6 linked regions of the Oryctolagus cuniculus genome follow. The protein of the gene in region 2 interacts with the protein of the main gene of each other region in a biochemical or structural test. Links are inferred from orthologs where the notes say so. Each region holds a gene or a part of one and is shown on either strand. Other genes may lie near its edges. The genes, in order: CENPA, AURKB, KLHL9, CDCA8, KLHL13 and RACGAP1.

What was found.
Region 1: of the proteins of AURKB (region 2) and CENPA, one has a biochemical effect on the other in vitro, tested with the Homo sapiens proteins (3 studies listed by BioGRID). The link is inferred for Oryctolagus cuniculus from reciprocal best matches to the Homo sapiens genes AURKB and CENPA.
Region 3: the proteins of AURKB (region 2) and KLHL9 form a complex in vitro, tested with the Homo sapiens proteins (2 studies listed by BioGRID and IntAct, with this or other methods). The link is inferred for Oryctolagus cuniculus from reciprocal best matches to the Homo sapiens genes AURKB and KLHL9.
Region 4: the proteins of AURKB (region 2) and CDCA8 form a complex in vitro, tested with the Homo sapiens proteins (3 studies listed by BioGRID, with this or other methods). The link is inferred for Oryctolagus cuniculus from reciprocal best matches to the Homo sapiens genes AURKB and CDCA8.
Region 5: of the proteins of AURKB (region 2) and KLHL13, one has a biochemical effect on the other in vitro, tested with the Homo sapiens proteins (2 studies listed by BioGRID and IntAct, with this or other methods). The link is inferred for Oryctolagus cuniculus from reciprocal best matches to the Homo sapiens genes AURKB and KLHL13.
Region 6: of the proteins of AURKB (region 2) and RACGAP1, one has a biochemical effect on the other in vitro, tested with the Homo sapiens proteins (2 studies listed by BioGRID and IntAct). The link is inferred for Oryctolagus cuniculus from reciprocal best matches to the Homo sapiens genes AURKB and RACGAP1.

What each region holds. Positions count from the first base shown.
Region 1 is NC_091433.1:176,093,482-176,097,298, reverse strand, and holds the end of CENPA (histone H3-like centromeric protein A), read left to right. Parts: intron 1-1,211; coding exon 1,212-1,318; exon of another isoform or gene 1,319-1,829; coding exon 1,830-1,907; intron 1,908-2,198; coding exon 2,199-2,333; 3' UTR 2,334-3,317; downstream 3,318-3,817. UniProt on the Homo sapiens protein: Histone H3-like nucleosomal protein that is specifically found in centromeric nucleosomes. Replaces conventional H3 in the nucleosome core of centromeric chromatin that serves as an assembly site for the inner kinetochore.
Region 2 is NC_091448.1:52,688,683-52,692,868, reverse strand, and holds the start of AURKB (aurora kinase B), read left to right. Parts: upstream 1-1,386; 5' UTR 1,387-1,471; intron 1,472-1,735; exon of another isoform or gene 1,736-1,758; 5' UTR 1,759-1,783; coding exon 1,784-1,831; intron 1,832-3,208; coding exon 3,209-3,311; intron 3,312-3,414; coding exon 3,415-3,466; intron 3,467-3,632; coding exon 3,633-3,824; intron 3,825-3,949; coding exon 3,950-4,088; intron 4,089-4,186. UniProt on the Homo sapiens protein: Serine/threonine-protein kinase component of the chromosomal passenger complex (CPC), a complex that acts as a key regulator of mitosis.
Region 3 is NC_091432.1:184,421,224-184,425,346, reverse strand, and holds the start of KLHL9 (kelch-like protein 9), read right to left. Parts: upstream 2,801-4,123; coding exon 947-2,800; 3' UTR 1-946.
Region 4 is NC_091438.1:135,068,874-135,072,321, forward strand, and holds the end of CDCA8 (borealin), read right to left. Parts: intron 3,220-3,448; coding exon 3,093-3,219; intron 2,249-3,092; coding exon 2,162-2,248; intron 1,300-2,161; coding exon 1,255-1,299; 3' UTR 501-1,254; downstream 1-500.
Region 5 is NC_091453.1:75,280,473-75,283,972, reverse strand, and holds part of KLHL13 (kelch-like protein 13), read right to left. Parts: coding exon 3,405-3,500; intron 1,101-3,404; coding exon 613-1,100; 3' UTR 1-612. UniProt on the Homo sapiens protein: Substrate-specific adapter of a BCR (BTB-CUL3-RBX1) E3 ubiquitin-protein ligase complex required for mitotic progression and cytokinesis.
Region 6 is NC_091442.1:53,334,963-53,338,462, reverse strand, and holds part of RACGAP1 (rac GTPase-activating protein 1), read left to right. Parts: intron 1-174; coding exon 175-270; intron 271-358; coding exon 359-557; intron 558-2,856; coding exon 2,857-2,962; intron 2,963-3,131; coding exon 3,132-3,264; intron 3,265-3,391; coding exon 3,392-3,500.

The sequences.
Region 1 (3,817 bases), on a different chromosome or scaffold from region 2:
TCCATCCACCCCTCTGCAGCTCTCCGCACACGGCGCCAGAGGGTCTTATTTTTATTTTTTAAGATTTTATTTATTTATTTGAGGGGTAGAGCTACAGACAGAGAGAGGGAGAGACAGAGAAAGAGGTCTTCCTTCTGCTGATTCACTCCCCAAATGGCCGCAATGGCCGGAGCTGCGCCTATCTAAAGCCAGGAGCCCGGAGCTGCTTCCAGGTCTCCCACATGGGTGCAGGGGCCCAAGGACTTGGGCCATCTTCTACTGCTTTCCCAGGCCACAGAAGAGAGCTGGATTGGAAGAGGAGCAGCCGGGACTAGAACCGGCGCCCATATGGGATGCCAGCACTGCAGGCAGAGGATTAACCTACTGCACCTCAGTGCCAGCCCCTGAGAGGATCTTTAACCCGGAAGTAGATCAGCTTTTCCTCTCTCTTCCTGAACACTTTCCCTGGCTTCCGGTCACTTTAGGATTAAATCCCAGCTCCTTATGTTGGCGTTTCAAGACCCAGCTGCTGCATGTTCTGATTTGTGAAATTCATTTGAAAGACAGAGCTGTCATCCACTGGTTCACTCCCCAAATACCTGCAAGGGCGGGGGCTGGGCCAGGTCGAAGCCAGGAGCAGGAAACTTAATCCAGACCTCCCTCATGGGTGGCAGGGACCTACCCCTTGAGCCATCACCCACTGCCTTCCAGGGTGCCAGGCTCAGGTGCGGAGCTGGGACTTGAACCCCAGCACTGTGGTGTGGCAGTGCTCTCCACACACAGCTGACTGCATCTCTGATCCCGGCTCTTCCCCGTGAGCTTTCCCTGGTCGCTTCTCACGTATTCGCATCACGGATTTCCTGTCTCGCCCCTCTGAGGTCATCGCCTGTATTTAAGGGCTCTCCTTTCTCTGCTACCTCAGATTCCTCCGGAGTGGTTTTTCTGTTGAGTTGGGTTCCTTCCGCTCGCGGTGTCCTTTCTCAGATCGTGTGGTGACCTTTCGTCGTGTCCCTCTTCACCTTGTGTGACGCCGGGCCTTGTGTGTGAAGGCTGCTGATGGGCGGTGGAGACGAGGCGGGGTCAGCCTGTGCGTCCTCCCTGTTCCTGACCCCACCCGGGTCAGCTGCCTGGCTCAAGCCCCTCTGGTGGCCTCCCCTCCCCCACCTTCTCAATGCTCTGTGTGTGCTCCCCCACCCCGCTTTCCCCTGCTGACCCCGCGCACACCTCTGCAGGCGCGGCCTCGCAGCACAGACGGCGGCGGCACGCGTGGCTGAAGGAGATGCGCAAGCTACAGAAGAGCACGGACCTGCTGCTGAGGAAGCTGCCGTTCGCCCGCGTGGTGAGCTCAGGGCGCCCCGGCCCGGCGTGGCCCCTGTCCCTCACCTTCTCCCCCTGCGGGGGCCCTTGGTCTGGACCCACACCACCTTCGCTTCTCCACAGCTCCCCCACACCTTTGAAGCTGTCTTACTCTTTGTAACAGTTGTGTGTATGGGCACTGTGAGAGCTCGGGTCCACGCCTGTGTGTTAGGGTGGAGTCAGGGTTCCATCTCCTGGGGCAGGTCTCGCTTCTTTGTGTTGGGAACCTCGGGTCTTAGCGTCTGAAACTGTCTTTGAGTATGGAAAACGGAGCGCTGTCACCCATCCCTCGTGCTTTGGTCCCTTTTGCTGCCCTGGGGGAGTGCAGCAGGCCGACTCCTGTGCCCCAGAGGCAGCCCTGCTCCGCCCCAGGCACGTCCTGAGGTTGAGGGCCAGGAAGGACCAGTGGATTCCCTGGAGACTCTTGGAGAGAGCCCAGCTCTCCGAGCCTCTCGTCTGTTACTGCCTACTCCCCCATCCCCACTCCTCCACAGGCCAGAGAAATCAGCACCAGATTCACTCGGGGTGTGGACTTCAGCTGGCAAGCCCAGGCCCTGTTGGCCCTCCAGGAGGTGAGAGGGGGCCTGGGTGCAGCTGGGGGAAGGCCGGGTGGGAGGGACTAGCGTCCTGGATCCTGGTACTTGGCCGCAGACTCGCAGGCCGCAGCTGGCCGGGATCCCGAGCAGGGCAGCCGGGTCCCCCCGAGCAGTGGGGGGCTGCAGAATTCCCAGGCAGAGCCCAGTCTCCTGCACCGTCCTCCCTAACGTGCTTCGGGCGCTGGAGACGGAGGTCAGCGGGTCCCCAAGGAAAAGCAGCCGTGCCCCCACGTCTGCCATGTCCCCTCTGCCCCCTCCTGCCCCCAGGCGGCAGAAGCGTTCCTGGTTCACCTCTTTGAGGACGCCTATCTCCTCTCCTTGCACGCCGGCCGGGTCACCCTTTTCCCAAAGGATGTGCAGCTGGCCAGGAGGATCCGAGGCATCCAGGAGGGGCTTGGCTGAGCACCGGGCCGGAGTCTCCGCCAGCCTTCCTGTGCCCGGGCGCGGCACCCCGCTCTCAGCGCCGGGAGGGCTGTCCTTGGAGGAGCTGCCTTCTCTGTGCCCAGCCCCTTGTCATCTCAGCGTTCCTGGTGCTCACGAGACTGCCTGGGGGTGTGTGGGTCACACCTTCCCGTGCAGCGTTGAATAAAGATACTTTGCTACCACGTGACGAGCCAACGGCCACACCTGTAGCAGCGCTAAGCCTCTCCGTTTCACAAGGACCCGTGGCTTCGTTTTGATGAAGAGAGATTTTTTTGCTTCTGAAAATGCCTTGTTAGGAAAAGCGATTCCTGCGTGTCAGGGATGATGGCTGGGACGGCTTTGGTGCCCATGCGTAGTAGACCCGGGCATATCGGAGGGCCGCCTGGGCCGTGCTGTTGCAGAGCTGGGGTCCGGCTGGGGTCGGTTCTTTCCAGGAGAGGGTGGCCTGGCTGGCTGTGTAGTGGGCATCGGCACGGCTCCCGGCGCCTGGACGTCGTGTCGGCAGAGGTTCCAGGGCCTTCAGCTCGTGACCCGCACATCCGACCGATGAAGCTCCTGAAGACCTCAGCTGCGCACGGGCAGGAGGGGATCCTGGCTCGTTCCTGTGCCGTGCGTTTTTCACCCCGTGTGTGTTTAATCCGCTGCTGAGAACGTGAGAGGAAGCCCGAGAAGCGCCTGAATCAGCTGCGTGGGAAAGCCCAGCCTTCCCGGCCCGCAAGCCTGCGCCCCTCAGACGGGGCTGAACATTGGTGTTCTGGTTCCTTCCAGTCCTTCCCATCAAAATCGCTCGGAAGTTCTGACTTCCAGGATTCAGCATTTTCTTATTATTTGTAAACCACAGAAGTTGAATCTTATCAATCCATGATTTTAAAGTGCTTTTCCAGTGTTTTTATGGGTGTTTTTTAAGCTTACAGCTTCTTTGCAGAGAGATAATAAAAATAATTCTGTAATGAAAAAGTTAAAGCCAAGTTACTGTTTCCAGCAGGGCAACTATGCTGTTTTCTGTAATTTAAACTCTGCATTTCCGCACTGTGTACAGGCATCCATCGTTTCAACAAGGGGACTGAAGGGTGAGATTTGCCCCCAGTGAAGCAGAGGTGAACAAAGAAACCTTGGCCTTCTGCACGGCTGAGAGCATGGGAGGTTTCTGGAGAAATGGGGTCTGCTGTGGCGAAAATGCGGAGTGCGTGGGGCTGGCTGATGAGGACACCGTGTCAGACTGGAGGGAGGCACCAGGTCTCACTGTAATCACTTCTAGCCTTTTGGAAAAGCCTCTTCCTTTGGTGTGATGTCGTACCCGTGCTGGTGTGCCATACCCGTGTTGGCATGACATCATATGTGCTGGCATGACACTCATACTGGTGACGTCACACATGCTGGCATGACACACCTGTGCTGGTGTGATGTCACACCCATGCTGGCATGATGTCACACCCATGCTGGCATGGCATGCCCATGCTGGC
Region 2 (4,186 bases):
AGGCATTAAATACTACTGTTAGCTGTCTCCAGATTTCTCAGAGGGCGCTAGCCTGGAGGCGTATGTATCTCCTTGCTTCTACTACGCTGAAAGTAAACAACAGAAAAACAAAGAAATGCAGCCCGGCCGCCCAGCGCCCAGCGAGCCTGGCCCTCCTTTTCTTGCCATCTCTTTCCTTGACTGATAGTGCCTTTGCTGGTGAGGCAGGCTTGGGTGGCTGGCAAGGAATGTGTCCTACCTCCCCGCCGTCCACACGGCACCCGCTGTCCAGGCTGGAACCTGGGCCTTGCCCTCCGCTCCCCTCCGCTCCGTCGCCCCTGGCCCTCCTCCTGCCAGAGTGGTCCCAATGTCTAGGGCGTCCTATAGAGCGAGACGGAGGCGGACAGGAGAGGGTGTGAGGCTAGCCCCCGACACGCCCGCTGCCCTCGCTGCCCATCCAAACTCGAGCCCCTGACTTGCGTTAGTTATTCTATAAGAAGACGCAAAGAGGCAATCCGTCTTCTCGCCTACATGTCTCTCTCTCTCACACACACACACCCATAACAAAATAGGAAGAAGTGCACATGAGAATCACACTCATTATTTCCGCAGCTGGTCACAAGGTCGTAGCTGGTATCTATAACCACCTTCCCGCTACCCCTTCCATATTACCCTCTAATTTCAGCAAACACCTCCTTCGCTGGTCGCCCCGAGCCTTTGCCCCTGGAGGGTCTCAGCCACCGCCATTTTGCATTCGTGAGTGTCGGTTAACACCTTAACTCAGGCCTGAAGTCCCACAGCATCCTGGTGGGAGCCGCGGCCCCATGCAGGAACCCGGCTTGCTGCTCCTCCTGGACTACCCTACCTACTGCCAAGCCTGCCCCGCACGGGGACAGCGGGCCTCTGGCTGCCGCCAGTGTAGACGCGAGGCACCGAACGCCTGCCTTGCTCACCAGGCTCACCACTTCCACCCGTCACTCAGCCCGTGGCAGGCAGGAGAGGACACTCGGCCCAGGCCACAGTCGCCGTTTCTTCCTGGCTAGCGCCTGCAGCTACTCGATGCACCTTTGTTCGGGTTTGAAGACCCGGTCCCCCCGCACGGGGACCCAAGGCCCGCGTTTAAATCCCGCTGGGAACCGGGGCAGCTCGCTTCACCCACGGTGCCGGCATCGGCGGCCCGGAAGGAAACGAACTTCGATCCTGGCTCACACAGTCTCCGTTTATATTAAAAATTCACACTTTTAAAAACGAAGAGAAAGCAAAAACTCCTCTCCCCGGGTCACCGGGGGAACTTTTCCCAAACCGGAACGGAGTCGGCGGCGGCTCGCCTTCCGCGGTTCCCATTGGGTCCCCTTGGCTACGTCATAGGTGAGAGATCCAATGAGAATTGGGCGAGGGTGGCGCCGGCAGCCAATGGGGCCAGAGCGGGAGATTTGAAAGCGCCTCGGCGGAGGCGCTGCCCGGCAGGTTCGGTAGTTCCCGGCGGCCTCAGGTGAGCCGGCCTCCGTTCGCGGGCCTCGGCCCGGTGCGGCCAGGGGCTCAGGCGGATCGCGGGGCTCCTGAGCGCTCAGGGGTGGAGAGAGAGGGTCCTGGAAGGGGGCTGGGCGGGTCCCGGCGCCGGGGCTGCGGGACGAGCGTCCGGGGTGTGGCCAGCCCTCTCGCCAGCCCGGACGGCGCTTCTGGCTGGATCCATCCGATCCCACCGCTGGTTTTTTTTTTTTTTTTTTTTTTTTTAATTCCCCTTTCTGCTTCTCAGGACTCTTTCCCTTCTCCGCCCAGGCGCCCTCCCCGCTACCCCGTGAGGATGGCCCAGAAGGAGAACGCCTACCCCTGGCCCTACAGCCGACCCACGGTAAGGCCACCCCGCCCCGCGGGACGCGCTGGACCACCCCCTCGGCACCGCCTGCCCCCTTATGCCCTAAGCGTGTTTTGTTCCACTTGGCCATGCGTCGATCACTGTTGGGAAGCAGGTTTTCAGGGCCCCCGGAGCCGCCTCCTTCCGGCTGAACTTGTGCCGTCTATTGGTGAGGCTTTGGTTCTGGTCTGGTGGTGGAGGGTCCATGTCTCCCCTGTGCGCCGGCTGCCTCCCTCGCGGAGCACTGAGCGAGGCCATTAAGAGCGGGTCTGAATGAGCCGCCATTGTCACTGCCAAAAGGAAGAAGTCTGTCCTGAAGTGGCATTGGCTGCCTCCCTGGCCTCATCTAAGCTCTAATCGGCTGAGCTTGCCAGTGTGCTGACGCTGTGGGGTTGGTTGACCAGGCCCTCACCTGGCCCCTGGTGTGAGGGTTGGGGGAGCCGGTGCGGTGTCATGGACAGGACTACACAGACTAGACAGTCATGCCTGAGACGGTGGCACAGGCCAGGGCCAAGGAGGTGAAATGTTAGGTGTTGGGGAGGAGTCCCCTGTTTTTGGCCCACTTGGGTTATTATTATTATTTTTTAAGGATTTATTTATTTATTTGAAAGATACAGAGAGAGAGAGTTCTTCCATCCGCTGGTTCACTCCTCAAATGCTCGTGACAGGCAGAGCTGGGCCAGGCCGGAGCCAGGAGCTTCCTCTGGGTCTCCCACACCGGTGCAGGGGCCCAAGCACTTGGGCCATCCTCCACTGCTTTCCCAGATGTATGAGTAGGGAGCTGGATGGGAAGTGGAGGGCCCATATGGGATGCTGGCACTGCAGGTGGCTTTACCCGCTGCACCAGTGCCGCCCCCTGCCCCACCTCTAGGCAGAGTGGACAGTAAGAGAGAGAGAGAGAGACAGAGAGAAAGGTCTTCCTTTTGCCTTTGGTTCACCCTCCAATGGCCGCCACGGCCGGCACGCTGTGGCCGGTGCACCGCGCTGATCCGAAGCCAGGAGCCAGGTGCTTCTCCTGGTCTCCCGTGGGGTGCAGGGCCCAAGCACTTGGGCCATCCTCCACTGCACTCCCTGGCCACAGCAGAGAGCTGGCCTGGAAGAGGCGCAACCGGGACAGAATCCGGCGCCCTGACCGGGACTAGAACCTGGTGTGCCGGCGCCGCAGGCAGAGGATTAATAACCCATTTTAACATGAGACTCTGAACAGAGTCTTGGGGCTGGAGGCCAAAACTGTCGTATCAGGGTTTTTCTCAGCACTGGGGGTGGACAGCACGTGGGAAGCTGTTTAGGCAGGAGCAGAAAAGCTGCTCGCGGCACATTCCAGCCGGGTCCCTGGGACAAAGGCGCCCTGGCGCTCCGCCTTCTCCTCCTTAGCCTCAGTCTGGCCTGAACACTCTGCCTCAGAGAATCCTGCGGAAGGAGGCTGCCACCCCCTCTGCCCTTGTCCTCATGAACCGCTCCAACGCCCCGCCCACAGGCAAGTGGCCCAGGAGGGAAAGCAGGGACTGGGGAGCTGGAGTCTACGGGACGGGTAGGGAGGATGTCCCAGCAGGGTCTCACCTCTCCCGCTCTCTCCTTAGCTGTCCTTGGGCAGAAGGGGATGGAGAACAGCAGTGGGGCACCCAACTTCACGTGAGTGCTCCCAGCCTGGAGGTGGCCAGCGGGAAGGGACGGCCTGGGACCGGCAGAAGTGGGGGAGCCGCGGTGGAGGTGGGGGGGCTGAGGGAGTGGGGAGAAAGCAGACTCCTGGGCTGCCCGGCAGGCCGGCGCTGAGCTGTGTCCCCCACTTGCTGAGCAGGCGGCCCTTCACCATCGACGACTTCGAGATCGGCCGTCCTCTGGGCAAAGGCAAATTTGGAAACGTGTACTTGGCCCGGGAGAAGAAGAGCCATTTCATCGTGGCACTCAAGGTCCTCTTCAAGTCTCAGATCGAGAAAGAGGGTGTGGAGCACCAGCTGCGCAGGGAGATCGAGATCCAGGCGCACCTGCAGTACGCCCCCGCCCCGGGAGTCCAGACTGTGGCCCCTGAGAGCTGGGTCCAGTTCCCCAGCCTGGGCCCTATCATCTTCCCTTTATGCCCGGATGTGGCCTGAGGCCTCCTGTCTCCTGCTGCAGGCATCCCAACATTCTGCGTCTCTACAACTATTTCTACGACCGGAGGAGAATCTACCTGATCCTGGAGTACGCCCCGCGCGGCGAGCTGTACAAGGAGCTGCAGAAAAGCCGCACTTTTGACGAGCAGCGAACAGCCACGGTCGGGGCGGGTGGGCACCTGGGACCCCGGCTGGGGGCTTGAGGCTGGGGGCACGCTGCCTGTGGCCGCGGGGCTGTCCTTGTCTGACTGCCTGTCCC
Region 3 (4,123 bases), on a different chromosome or scaffold from region 2:
TATCCTAAGCCTTACTGAAAAGGTAGAAAATAGCAGAGCCTAAATTTATTGGGAAAAAGCAAATTCTATGAATTCTGAACTTTGCTAAATAACATGTATAAGAGCAACTCTAAAGAAAATATACAAGCAGAAAAATGTAAGTTTCATCTGAAGTAACAATTTATAGTCAAATGACAAATACAGTTGTCAATTTAGAATGTTGTAGCCCTTATCTAAATTCAGTATGACTATACAGATATTTATTCTCTGATACTGAATTCCCACTTAAATAGCTGATTAATGGAAACAATTCAAATTTAAGAACAATGTCACTATGGTTAAAACAGTCCAATTAATTTTAAAATTATATATGTGTGTACCTATTTGTCTTATTATGCATATATTTTCTTTCACCCTTCCACTGTCTCCAGGGAGAGAAACCAAATGCTGACTTAGGGCTAAACTGGTTTCTCTGGTTAATATTTTTGTTATTTCTCCTATCTGCCTAAGACCTAAGAAACTTCACATACTCCATATGCAACCACAAAACCAAATGAGTTGACATGTGTGAAAAACTCTGAAAAGAGGGAGGTAGCTAATAATTGGTGACTTTTCATTTATTATTTTAGGTTACAGCAGACCTCCCCTTGATGTTTTTCAAAGATGAAAATTTTGAAGGATAATGCACACAATTACATTTACTACAGTCACCTACAATTTGACTTAATAACACCACAAAGAGACATCTAATTTAAACATTGTTCTGCATATCTCCTTTCATTTGTTAAAACAGCTATGTTGAATACACTTTCAGAATGCATTTGTTAGCCACCTGATAAACAAAGCCAAACAAGACAAATAATGTTACCTTTTTATCTCACAACTACCAACCATTGTGAAGAAGATACAACTGAAGGGGAAATAGGAGATCATCCATGAAGAACTGCCAAGATATAACACCTTAGATCTAAGAATGATCTGAAGGTGCTGAGAGTGGCGACTCTCTAGAAGGTGATCCAGGGTTTTCTTCAGGGGGAAAAACCGTGAGGGTACAAGCTCGGATGCCACCGAGTGACTCTGGAAGGTCAAAAACTTTATGCCACTCATCTTTTTCTGGATCATATTTCTGGACAATTTCTACCATACAACGATTATTCCAAGAATATCCACCAACAACGTAGATTTTATTTTCAAAGACAGCAACTCCAACATCACTTTGACCTCTTAACATGGCAGCAATTGGTGTCCACTGGTCAAGCGTTGGTGAATAGTATTCACAGCTTAGAACATCATCATAATCACTTGTTCCTCTGAAGTGATTGCCACCGATGACATAGAGCTTATCTCCAACTGTACACATGCAATGCAATCCTCTGACTGTAGTCATTGGGGCCTTCTGTGTCCATTTGTCTGTATCCGGGTCAAAACACATGAGCTCATTTTGGAAAGTGTCATGGGTAATTCCTCCTGAAATATACATTAAGCCTCCATACACTGTTCCAGCATGGCCATAATGGGGTTCACTCATTTTTGCAACATAGCTCCACTCATTCATTCGTGGGTTGTAACATTCTACTGTGGCCAGTTCACCAGCTGCACTGCGCCCTCCAACTGCATACAAATGTCCTTTGAGAGCACTCAAGTGGAAGAAAGTGCGCTTTTCATTTAATGATGCAACTTGCATCCATTTATTATATCGAGGATCAAATCTAAAAACTGTATCGACAGCAGTTTTTCCTTTTGTATCATAATTACTTTGACCACCAACCACATAAAGGAAGTTTCCAATGACAGCAATGCCATGCTGGTAACGAGGAGCATCCATGGGGGCTAAAGATCTCCACTCTTGTGCTCTTTCATCATACATCCTTAATTCTTTACTGACAACCAGCTGTTGCCTCAACACTCCCCCTAAGGTAACCAAGTGCGTAGAGTCAGACCGAATGGCAGTTCTGTCAGACTGCATCACTGGCTGCATATATGGCATCATTTGGTAGTTGCTAGCTTCCAAAAGCAAGTTCACACAGGTATTGTCTGTTCTCATGAAATCCACGGTCTGCACATAATTGATGAGGTCCTGTGGTGTCATCAGTGGAAATCGAATATTCTTCATTAATTTTGCAGCATAATCCATCCGAGGATCTTCCAACCTTAGCCATCGACAGGCAGCCTTGAATAGTTCAAGTTCAGTACAGTGCTTTAGACTATTACTGGAAAGCACAAAGGCAAGCCGTTCAAAAGGGAGTTTTAGAAACTCTCCAGTACTCAGTAAAGCAGGGAAGTTCTTCAAGATGAAATTATTAACATATTTATCCACTTCTATTAGATTGTAGGTGTTAGCAATTCGTCCAACCTCAACGCAGTTATCCAAAGAGACTCCTGATATAAGAAATACTTTACAGAAATCCAAAACGGGTAAGATTTGTAAGAAGCTAGCAGCTTCAAGAGTGTCCTGAAGATTGTCCATGTTAAGAGAAAGTTTTGCAGTATAAATAAAATCAATGATTTTCTTCAGACCAACCTTGTTCACCCCATGAAGCTTAATGCACATTAAATCTTGCTCTTTCATTCCACCTGTGAACATAGCCTTGAAATAATCACTAGCAGAAGCCATCATCGCTCTGTGAACAGGGAAGATTTCATCTCCATCGCCCGGTACCAGGGTCACATCACAAAGCAAACCTTCTATTCTAAGCTGATCAAAGCCTTGCAGTACCACCGAACTGTGAGTATTGCTGGTAAAAAACCGTGTGGTTCCCGTCTTGCAAGGTTGCAGATGGGCAGAGACGCCCATTTCGCCGTTACCGAGAGACACTTTCATGTGAAAGCCTCCCTCTTGTACAGATGTATGCCGAAGAAAGCAATTATAACCCGAATGTTTTTCAGGAAACAGAGATGTCCACAGAGCTCACTTCCCCTAGCAAGGACGAGCAGTCACCGTGGCGCCCCTCAGGACACACCAGTCAGTCGTCCACTGGAAACTCTCCAGCGGCAGGGCCACAAACGGCGGTGGACCTCAAATCTAATTATTAGGCTGGCGATTCATCACCTTAAGGCAGTTAAATGACCCGGTTCACCTCGTCTGGCCTGCGCTGCCGCTCCTTCAGCAGTTCCGCTCGCAGCCGAGGGGGAGGTGCCGCCACGTACTGAGGCTCCGCCGCTCACTCTGCGGCGCGACCGGGCTCCTCCGCGGGCGGCCGCCTGCGCCTTCCGCTGTCACTCGACCGTCGCCGCGGCCACCGGCCAGTTTTGCAGCAAGGGCCTGGAACACCGCCTGGCCTTGGGCCTGGGCCGGGAACACAGAATTAGCCACTGACGCCGAGCCGATCCTTCCGGAAAGGCCTAGTCCCAGGATCCCCCGGGCTAGGAGCGTCCGTGGGAACTACTGCGCCTGCGCAGCCGTCTGCCCTGATTGGTGGGCGGGCTTGCCGACGTGTCCGGGAGGGGGAGGAAGAGCGGGATGGGCGGGGCGTGCGGGGGTTGGAGAAGCCGAGCGGTCGCAGGTGGGTGGTAGCGGGGCGCGGGGGAGTCTCCGTGTGCGTGAGGCTGGGTAGGCCGGAAGGAGTACCCGTAAGTTACACGCGCATTTGGTGTAGATGAGTCTGGATTCTTCTTTAAGGTGTAGGCTCGCTGGCCGCTTCTAACAATGAAATAAGAACGATTTTTGTATAAATTGAGAGGCCGCCTGGCAAAGTAACCGTAGGGGGAGGATGCTTAAATGATCTTTCTCTATAAAACACTTCATAAATTTTACCCGGTATAATTTAACAGACACTTCAATGATTTGGGTTCATATTTGAAATTTTTATCGTTGGAAACATAGTATTTGTCGCTAGTAAAATGTGACCATACGAATAGTAAAAACCTAGTATATTCATCATTTCTGGCTTAACAATGCAATGCCATCATAATTTTTTTTCAAGCTTTTGATTACCACTCACATTTTAAATGCACAATTTTCCACTAGTTACATAACATAGTTTCTTTGACCATTATTTTTACCTGGATATATACATTCTTAGCCTCTCTTGTCCTATAGAAACTAAAATCAACTTAATAGAAACTCACCCTGTTTTGGGTTATGTTTGGTAGAATATTGATTTAAGTCCATATTTCAGAAATACTGTCACGACAGTGTATTTCT
Region 4 (3,448 bases), on a different chromosome or scaffold from region 2:
GTGTGGGGACTTGTAGGCGGGACTGCTGCTTTGCAGGCAGTAACCTTTCCTCCAAATGCTGGCTGACCAGAAGGGCTCCAAACTGTATTCAGCAACCTGGCTGAGTCCCAGCTCCAGGATGTCTTTCAGGCAGAGCCCTCTGCCACTTGAGGTCCGTGCTGAGTGTTCTCAACATAGGTAGTTTCTGCCAGGGCCCCTGGGACTCTGGGAAGTGAGAAGCAGGATCGCTGACGCCTGCCCCTGCTTTGTTCCTGGCCGCCGAGACCTCGCTGTACAGGTTAACTGTGGTGTCCTGGTTTCTGTCCTGTGTGTACATTTCTAGCCCCCAGGATGGAGGTGCTGGGAGACCGGCTTAGGGGCTGAGGTTACTGGAACTTGGCGTGAGTCCCCGTTCAGATATAAGAGATGCTGCCTCAGCTCCTGAGGACAGCAGCTGTCCCCAGACTCTCACTCCAGTCCAGGTAGCACAGCTGCAAGATGGCAGGCAGGCTGATGAGTGATTAAAAAAACCAAACCAGAATTTATTGAAAGCAGGTACCTTTCAGAAGCTCTGATTAAAACCATCAAGATACCATCACTCAGGAAAACAGTGTGTACAGAAGTCTCAGGAAAAGGAGAACAAGCAACTTAAAAACGATTCGACTTGCACAGGGCTGCATCACTAGATTGATCATGTCCTAAAATAACAGAAACCATTCCCAGGGGAAACTGTGCTTCCAAGCCTGTGGGAGAACCCTGGCTCCCAAATCCTGGGAACCCAGCCCAGGACAGTTTGGGGCAGAATTCACCTGTGTCCAGGGCACAGACTAAACATGCGGAACAAGGCCACCACACAAGTCACACGTGCCCCCCACCCCCAGGAGCCCCCTACGAGAGAAGTGCTTTCTGCAGAGTCCATCCACCCTGCAGCGACCACTGGGCCTCAGAGAGCTTAGGGACAGTTACTCTGCGGCCAGTCACACATGTAGATTTAGCCTAGATGCTAAGTCTACAGTCCCTTTGTCCACGTTCCAACTAACTGGAGAGGTAGACGTGCAAGACATGGAAGCTGCCTCCAAGCCAATTTTTGGTCTTCGATAAACAGGATAAACACAAAAACTGTTCCACAAGTCATCCTGAAAAGAACGACTGGGCACAGGACGTGAGAGGTGCTGCGGGCCCACGCAGTGCCCCCACGGGAGGGGGAGGAAGAGGGGAGACCTCCGAGTCCTGCCGCAGTGGTCGCGCTACGCCCGGTCCGGCTCTGCCGCCTTCTCATTTGTGGGTCCGGATGCTGCTGCAGATTTGGGCGAGACGGCTCTAAAAGCAAAGCAGATGGGTCACTTCAAACACAAGCACTTGGCACTCGGGCTAAAAGCCACTCGGTCTGAGTGAGTCTCAGCCCCTCTTCTCTGTTTGTGCCACACATGAATGGGCCTTTCTGCAACTCAGCTTCTCGCCTGCACAAAGGAGGAGAGCAACAGCTCAGATGAGATCAGGAAGGCACACCTGGGAACAGCGATGCCCTGGGCCCGGCTACAGGATGACTGCTGCAAGAGCTGGGCAGCTGGGTATGCGTGGGACCTTGGCACCGGGCTGGGGTTTGGGAAGCCAGCTCTGCCCTTGTCCCCCTCCGTGGACGTACCCCTCGCAGACCCCACAGAAGGGTGGGCCTGTGGCAGTCATGCATGTTCTAAGCACTCCCATTTGCCTCCCAAGACCATAGCTGACTGGACCTGGGATGTTTATCTGAGTCAAGCTGAGTCAATTCAATCCTCTCTTGAGAACTTATGTCCAGACAGCAAGCCAAACAGTGCTGGACACTGGAGTGATAGAGTTAGAGCTGGAGGTGTGGTTCTCCAAAGAGTGACAGAGTTAGAGCTGGAGGTGTGGTTCCCCAAAGCCAGGTGCAAATCACTGTTGAGGGAGTAGAACCAAGTTCCCTGCGGAAAAAGTCACACGCACAGAGGCGGCAAAGGTGTGCTGGAGAAATGCCAAGGGCAGGCACCAAACTCAGCCTCACCTGGACAGAACTGCTGCAGTGTCAGCAGGGTCACAGTTGAAAAACCCCTTGAGGCAAAGAAGGCAGCAGGATTCTAAGTATTAGCCCCGACCCCAGGGAGAGCTGCCCCTAGAAAGCTACTGGAGACATACTACGTGTGGAGATGAACTTGAGACTTACAGAGAGCTTCTTAATGTTTCCCAAGGCCTCTGGGTCCAGCTGTGCAATGTCGACCCTCTGCAAGTCACTGGCCAATAACCGCACGCTCTGTAAGGGAGGAGAATGGGTTACACTGGCAGGTCCCTCAGGGCAGGGACCTCACCCAGCATCCCCGTGGTGTGCCCCGGCGTCTCTGTGACATCCTGCACTTGCTGGCAGGGAGTGGCTGAGATGGAGCAGTGGCCTTTCTAGACGAAGTGCACTCCTCAGCAGTGGCCTCCTCTGCACCCTTCAGCAGCCCCGTGAGCTGGGGCTGGCGCTGTGGCACAGTGGGTTAAGCTGCTGCCTGCGGCACTGACACCCCACACTGGAGCGCCACTTCAAGTCCTGGCTGCTCTGCTTCTGATCCAGCTCCCTGCTAATGCACCTGGGAAAGCAGCGAAGATGGCCCAAGTGCTTGGACCCCTACCACCCACGTGAGAGACCCAGCTGGAGTTCAAGACTCCTGCCTTTAGCCTTGCCCAGAATGGCTATTGCAGTCATTTGAGGAGTGAACCAACGCATGAAAGATCTATCTCTGTCTCTCTCTGTCACTCTGCCCATCAAATAAATGAGTCTTAAAAACAAAAACAAATCCCCGTTAGTGCAGCTACTACAGATACTATGCTTGCCAACCCATCTGACTCCTGAACTGCTTTGCAATGACAAGAGCCATGGCCCTCAGGCTTGCTACAGTCAGGTGGGCAAACAGAAGCCAGCGATGGTCAGGGATCCTCCCAGCCTGGGCCCCTGACTTGGGAAAGAAAACCAGGTTCTGAGTCCTGCAGGAGTGTGGAGCTCAGGACCCACATAACTAGCAGACCCCTGATGAGAGAAGTGAGTGAGGGCCCAGGGAAGGCAGGCGCTCCACGAAGCAGCACACCGCGGCCTGGCTTCCCAAGAAATACTGTACCGCGCCGCCGCCCACGGGCACAGTGAGGGAGATCTCTTTGCTGTCGGCCAGGGGGCTGCCATTCACAGAGATGTTGTAGATCTGCTCTCTGGCTGCTGGAGTGCGCAGGCCTGGGGTCTTGAAGACTCTGCAGAGTGGGAAAGTCTGTGAAGTCAGCCTGGCAGATTGAATGACACCAGGCACAGGGAGCCCTTCCAACCCCCATCTGGTCTCAAGCTGAAGTTTTCAAAATCACATGTTTCTAAGAAGGCGAGTTCTAAATTTAGGGAAAACATTTTTTTTTAAAGCAGTAATGACTAAACACAGCTGGAGAAAGGAGGGTGTAATTACCAAACATACATCTAACAAAAGTCAAC
Region 5 (3,500 bases), on a different chromosome or scaffold from region 2:
ATTGGAGAATTCCAGTCATTTCTCCTGTGTGTCTAAGAAACTTCATATGTTCTCAATGCACCCACACAGTTAGGTGGGTTGACAGTTATGTCAAAAATACTTTATGAAAAGAGGGAGGTTGCTCATGCGAATTGGCAACCTTTGTGTATGGTTTCCTGTTGGAGCAGCCTGCCTCCCTTTGACATCTCACAGTCAAAGATGAAAGGAAAACTGTTTACTTTGAAGTCTAGTGAACACAGTTGTACATTTTCTATCATCCACCTTCAACTTGGCTTATTGGGCTTAATAATGTAAGATGACAAATACGTTACACCCAGTACACAGCATTTAAAAAGTACTGAAGAAACATTTTTATAGACAATACCTTTTTTTTTTCATATGTTAAACATCAGCTTCTATGGGAAACATTGCCAGAATGGTTTTGTTACCACTTTATAAACATTCTAAGCCAAACAAACAGCACAAAGAACATCAAAGTCATCTTTTTTCCAATAGCTGTATCAATTACTGGAGGCTAATCCTAACATATATACTACTAAAGGGGAGAAAAAGAAGAGAACTCGTGACACATTGCAAAGATAGGACTACAGCATCTTAGTTGTACGAATGATCTTAAGGTGCAGAAAGAGGAGACTCTCTAGAAGGTGATGGTGTGGTTTCCTCAGGTGGAAAAACTGTAAGTGTGCAAGCTCGAATGCCACCCAGGGACTCTGGGAGATCAAAAACCTTATGCCATTCATCTTTATCGGGATCATATTTCTGCACTATCTCTACCATACAACGGTTATTCCAAGAGTACCCACCAACCACATATATTTTATTTTCAAAGACAGCGACCCCAACATCACTCTGCCCTCTTAACATGGCAGCAATTGGGGTCCACTGATCAAGGATAGGTGAATAGTATTCACAGCTTAGGACATCATCGTAATCACTGGTTCCTCTGAAGTGATTGCCGCCAATGACATAGAGCCTTTCTCCCACTGTACACATACAATGCAGACCTCGCACAGTGGTCATTGGCGCCTTCTGGATCCATTTGTCAGTATCAGGGTCAAAGCACATGAGCTCCTTTTGGAAAGTATCATGAGTAATTCCTCCTAAAGAATGAAAAGAATAAGCATAAGGGATTATGTTAAAAAGGCAGAAGTAAGTAATGGCTCACCGTCATAATCAATTTTTAGCAACACATTAAGAAACATCAACAGTGTTCTTAAAATGTCTAAACTCTATAAATAATTTTCCTGGAAATTATATTTTCATCTTATTAAAGGATAAAAAATTGCTTGTACTATTGGGAGACCCCATGGTATTTAAGAGGCTTTACTGAACTGAAGATACAGTTTGGCCACTATTGGGTCTGTGATAAATCCCAACTACAAAGCAACACTCACTCCTTGCTATATTTTAGTGAGTACTCTCTGGGTACCAAGTAATGGGCCAGAGTACATTAAATTCCAATTGCCCATTTCCTCAACTTGCCAAATAAGAATATCTGCTTCTTGTTATGCCGTTAGTGTGATGTTCAGGTCAGATACTTATGGAAATGCTTTGAAAAGATCTCTTTAAACAAATAAGGTTATAAAATGCTCTGAACTGTTTATTCTTAGGGAGGTTTTGGTGGGTTGGGTGAGGAAGGGTAATATCATCTGTGTCAGAACAATTAAAAAGGTAAAAATTATAATGCTCAATATATGTGAAATTTCATACATGCAGAAATTTATTTTTGATCTGTTACATTCATATCATCTGCTAAGTGTATTCTTGGATCACATATAAATTGGCCTCTAAAATGAAAGCATCAGGGCTGACACTGTGGTACAGTGGGTTACATTTCCACTTGCAACACCAGCATCCCATAGAAGAGTGCTGGGTCAAGTCCTGGATGCTCTGCTTCTGATCCAGATTCCTAGTAATGCGCCTGGGAAATCAATAGAAGATAGCCCCTGCTACCCATGTGGGAGACCTGAATGGGGGTCCTGGCTTTAGCCTGGAGCAGCCCTGACTTGTGCAGCCATCTGGAGAATACACCAGTGGCTGGAAGCATGTGCATGCACTCTGTCACTCTACCTTTCAAAAATATATACATAATGTTTTTAATGTTAGTATCAGACTGTATCTTCTACAGACAAGGGAAAGAACTGAGATAATGTTTAACCAAATCATTTTAATCTATATTATAGAGTGTCTAGATAGCAATCACTATTTACTTCTGCTCTTTAAACACTTTTTATTCTGAATTTTTAATTCTGATTTATAGAATTCCCAGAAAGTGAAACAGTACTCATTGTTGGAAAATCAGCAGTTTTTCCTATTCTATTCATGGTCAGGAATATCATTTGCGCAATATATACCAATTATGCCAAAGCATCAATAAAACAATTCTGGTGTCATTTCCCCCCGCCCCCCAGAGGATTTGTAGCTCTCATTATAATGGTATAGTAGCTACACATATAAAATAGGGAAATGGTGTAAATCATTGACTAGTGGAGCCTGTGGTTTCTGGGATGGCTATTTCAATATTAAATATCCCATAGTTGCTCATGCATTGATACCAGAAACCTGCTAATCACATGCCACAGGCCTATCACTGATCCTTCTTGATTACATAAGGCAGCATTCAAAGAATCAGACCACAAACATCACCTTAACACCCTTGTTCTCCAATAATCTAACTGTTGGTCTGCCACTGGCAGGCCTCCAATTAGGGAACATAACTTTCACAAGTAGACTGTGTCAGGGCCAAATGATAAGAAACTGCCTTACAAATAAATATCAACACCAGAGGTGATCAAGTAAAGACTTCTTTCTGAATTCTATGGAAGGGTTATTTGAACACCAACAATTTGAGAATGAAAGTTGTTTCTAGGACAGTGGAAATAAACCTCAACCATCATAGAATTTTATAATAGAAACATATCTACATGTACCAAAAATACAGATAAATACCACGGAATTAGAATCCCATTATAATTCTAGCAAGAAAGGAAACACATACATGTTATGAGTTATGCTAAAAGAGAATAGACATCATGTGTTATCATTTGGGAGCATACTTTAGGCATTATGTTATATGATGATTTATTTCCTCACATGGGTTAGCTGCATTTTAAATAAAAAACATCATTGCAATAGAGAACACATGAATGGTATTTGTTATAATACAGAGTAATGGAATGGAAAGCAAATTAGAGAATCTGAACACTTTTTAGTTTCTTCTAAGTTATACAATTTATAGCAGGAATGGTTGGCTGCTGGTCTTGTGAACTTACAGAATGCTTATTCACAGGAAAATTAACACACAAAATGCCTTCTAAAATAAACATTAACATTTTGATGTAAAAAAGATCATAGAGCTAAAAGCTCACATTTTTTGTGTGTGTGTCCACATGGCAATTATTTACCTGAAATATACATCACTCCTCCATATACAGTTCCAGCATGGCCATAGTGGGGCTCACTCATTTTGGCAACATAGGTCCACTCGTTTGTTCTTGGAT
Region 6 (3,500 bases), on a different chromosome or scaffold from region 2:
GAACTGGTGCCCATGTGGGATGCTGCACCATAGGTGGCAGCTTTACCCACTATGCTACAGTGCCTGCCCTGGCAGTAGGAATTTAAAAGTAGACATGTTGTCCCATCCTGAGGGTTAGTGGAGGTAGTTCTTCACACGTGGTTTTTCAGTGGTAACTTGAAGCTCCTTTCACAGGGAATGCTGGCTGATTTTGTGTCCCAGACCTCTCCGATGATCCCTTCCATCATTGTCCACTGTGTAAATGAGATCGAGCAGAGAGGGCTGACTGAGGTAAGAATCGTCCTGACGACGGAATGAAATTGCTATTTGTGTCAAGCAATTACGTGGTTCTTAAGTAAAAGTGTCGTCTTTATACTAGACAGGACTGTATCGGGTCTCGGGCTGTGACAGGACCGTGAAGGAGCTGAAGGAGAAATTTCTCCGGGTGAAGACTGTCCCCCTGCTCAGCAAAGTGGATGACATTCATGCTGTCTGCAGCCTTCTGAAAGACTTCCTTCGAAACCTCAAAGAACCTCTTCTGACTTTTCGGCTAAACAAAGCTTTCATGGAAGCCGCAGGTATGGGCAGATCTTAATATTTGAATGTGAATTCCAGCAAGGCAGAATAAATTTCCATTTTTTTTTTCTTTACTGCTTTATCCACTACCCAATACAGTGCCTGCAAAGGGTAGGCACCCACAGGTTTGGTGGATGAATAGCTGCATGTGTATGTCCCCCATGCCTGATTGCTGTCTTTCTACACCATATAGGATAGTAATAGGTTTTCTCTCGCTCTGGTTTTTTGGGTCAAGTTTCAGGTTTGTCCTTTTGATGTTAAATCCATCTTTGATTCCTTTTCTTCTCATTCCACACCCAATCCCTTGTCAAGTCTCATCTGCAGGGGTGGGCACTTGCCCAGTGGTGAAGATGCCCCCGCCCCTAATCAAGTGCCTCAGTTGGAGGCCTTGCCCTGCTCAGATTGCAGCTTCCTGCTAACGCGACACCCTGGGAGGCTCATGTAATTGAGCAGCTAACTGATTGTTCTACTTCTGCCATTCCCTCTCCAGGATGATCTTCATAAGGAGCTAGAATGGCCCTTTTTACAATTAAATCCTCCAGAGACTTCCCATCATTATCAGAATAAAGTCCATGCCCCCCCCCCATAGTTGGAAACTTCCCAAGTGGTTTTTTTTTTTTTTCTTCTTTAATTTGAGAGGTAGAGTTACAGACAGAGAGAGGGAGAGACAGAGAGAAAGGTCTTCATCTGCTGGTTCACTCCCCAAATGGCCACAGTGGCCAGAGCTGGGCCAATCCGAAGCCAGGATCCAGGAGTCTTCCAGGTCTTTCACTGCTTTTGCAGGCCATAGCAATGAGCCAGAGGAGAAGCCAGAACTCGAACTGGTGCCCATATGGGATGCTTGGTGTCTCAGGTGGAAGCTTAGCCCATCATACCACAGAGCAGCCCCCCATACCCCAAGTCTTTTTATTTCAGGATTTACTTATTTTTTTGAAAGACAAAGAGGGGAAGAGATAACAGAGGGAGATCTGTCTGCTGCTTCACTCAAGGACCCTACATGAGGGGCTGGCATTGTGGTGCAGTCCCAGCTGCTCTGCTTCACAGGCAGCTCCCTGCTAATGTGCCTGGGAAAGCAGAGGAGGATGGCCCAAGTCCTTGGGCCCCTGCCACCCATGTGGGAGACCTGGATGGAGCCCCAGGCTCCTGGCTTCAGCCTTGATCAGCCCTGTCCATTGTGGCCATTTGAGGAGTGAACCAGTGGATGGAGGAACTCTGTCTGTATCTCTCTCTCTCATTCTCTCTCTCTGTCCCTTTCAAATAAATCCTAAATAAAAATAACTAAGTCTTAAAAAAGATCGAATGTGATTTGGCTTCTGGTTATCATTTTGTTCCCACCCCCTTTTCTTCTTTCCTTCCCCCGCAGTGGAATCTTGAGTTCCTTACTGCCCACCTCGAGGCCGTCACATTTGTTGTTGCCCAGCCTGCATTACTGCTACCCTAGACGTCTTCGTGATATCTCCTTCATTTCTTTCAGGCTTCTCTTCCCTGACCACCTTGTCTAAAGTAACAGTTCCCATTGCATTACAGCTTTAGTCTGCTCTGTTTTCTTTATTGTACGTATTACTACTTGATACCTATTTGTTCTTTGAATGTGTATTTGAAAGGCAGAGAGAGAGTGAGTGAGCTCCCAGGCACTGGTTCACTCCCCAAAAGCCTACATCTGGAAGCTGGGATAAAAGCTGGGAGCTGGGTACACAATCCGGGTCTCAGCTTGTGGATGGCAGGACACATATATTTAAGCCATCACCTGTGGACTCCCAGGATGTCCACTATCAGCAAGCTGAAATCTGAGCAGATCCAGGACTCAAACACTTTAATATGGAATGCAGGCATCCCACATGGCATCTTAGCTGGTAGCCAAACACCTGTCCCTGTGTTTCTTTGTCAACCAAATCCTCCAATAGAATAAACAGTCTACAAGGCAGGGGCTGTGTTTCCTTCTGCTGTATCATTGGTCCTTAGAAGAGTGCTGGGTGCACAGTAGACCCTTAGATATGTTTTATGAAGGAACACCTTGATAACTGTAGTTAGTTACTGCAGCTGTATCTACCTCCCAAACACATGGGTTGCCAGCTGTTTTTCCTAACAGCAAGGGCCTATTTTTAAAAAGTTCTGACTCGTAATATTGAGCTGTTGGCCAGTATCCTGCTTGCTAATGAAAGTAGAGTCTGATGTAGTCATGAACCTAATCAGAAGTTCCAGAAGCTTACTGTATAGAAGGGACTTTGTGGTCGATAACTCGGAAGCCCGCTGTCAAGGGAAAGAAGTTTAGGCCTCTCGGTGCTTTCTTTTCATTTATAGAAATCACAGATGAAGACAACAGCATAGCCGCCATGTACCAGGCTGTCGGTGAACTGCCCCAGGCCAACAGGGACACATTAGCTTTCCTCATGATTCACTTGCAGAGGTGAGTGCAGCAGAGACTTGCTCTGGGAGTTGGGGAATTTTTCAAGGGGAAGATAATGCGAGTTGGGTCTTAGGGAGTGTGAAAGGCGAATTGTTTTCTTGTACAATTTATATTTTGGTCTGCATTTAAGTAGAGGAGAAAGTCTTCTAATTTAAACTCTTTTGCTTAGAGTGGCTCAGAGTCCAAACACTAAAATGGATGTTGCCAATCTGGCTAAAGTCTTTGGACCTACAATAGTTGCCCATGCTGTGCCCAATCCAGACCCGGTAACAATGTTACAAGACATCAAGCGTCAGCCCAAGGTAAGTGTGTGTGCATGGGTGCCCACCTGTGGGCTCCTGCTCACTCCAGAACTTGTTTGTAGCATAAGAGAATGGTGAGAAGTAAGCTCTGTTTTGGAAGTTGGCTGACGTATGTGTTGGCTTTTAGGTAGTAGAGCGCCTGCTTTCACTGCCCGTGGAGTATTGGAGTCAGTTCATGATGGTGGAGCAGGAGAACGTCGACCCCCTGCATGTCATTGAAAACTCCAATGCCTTTT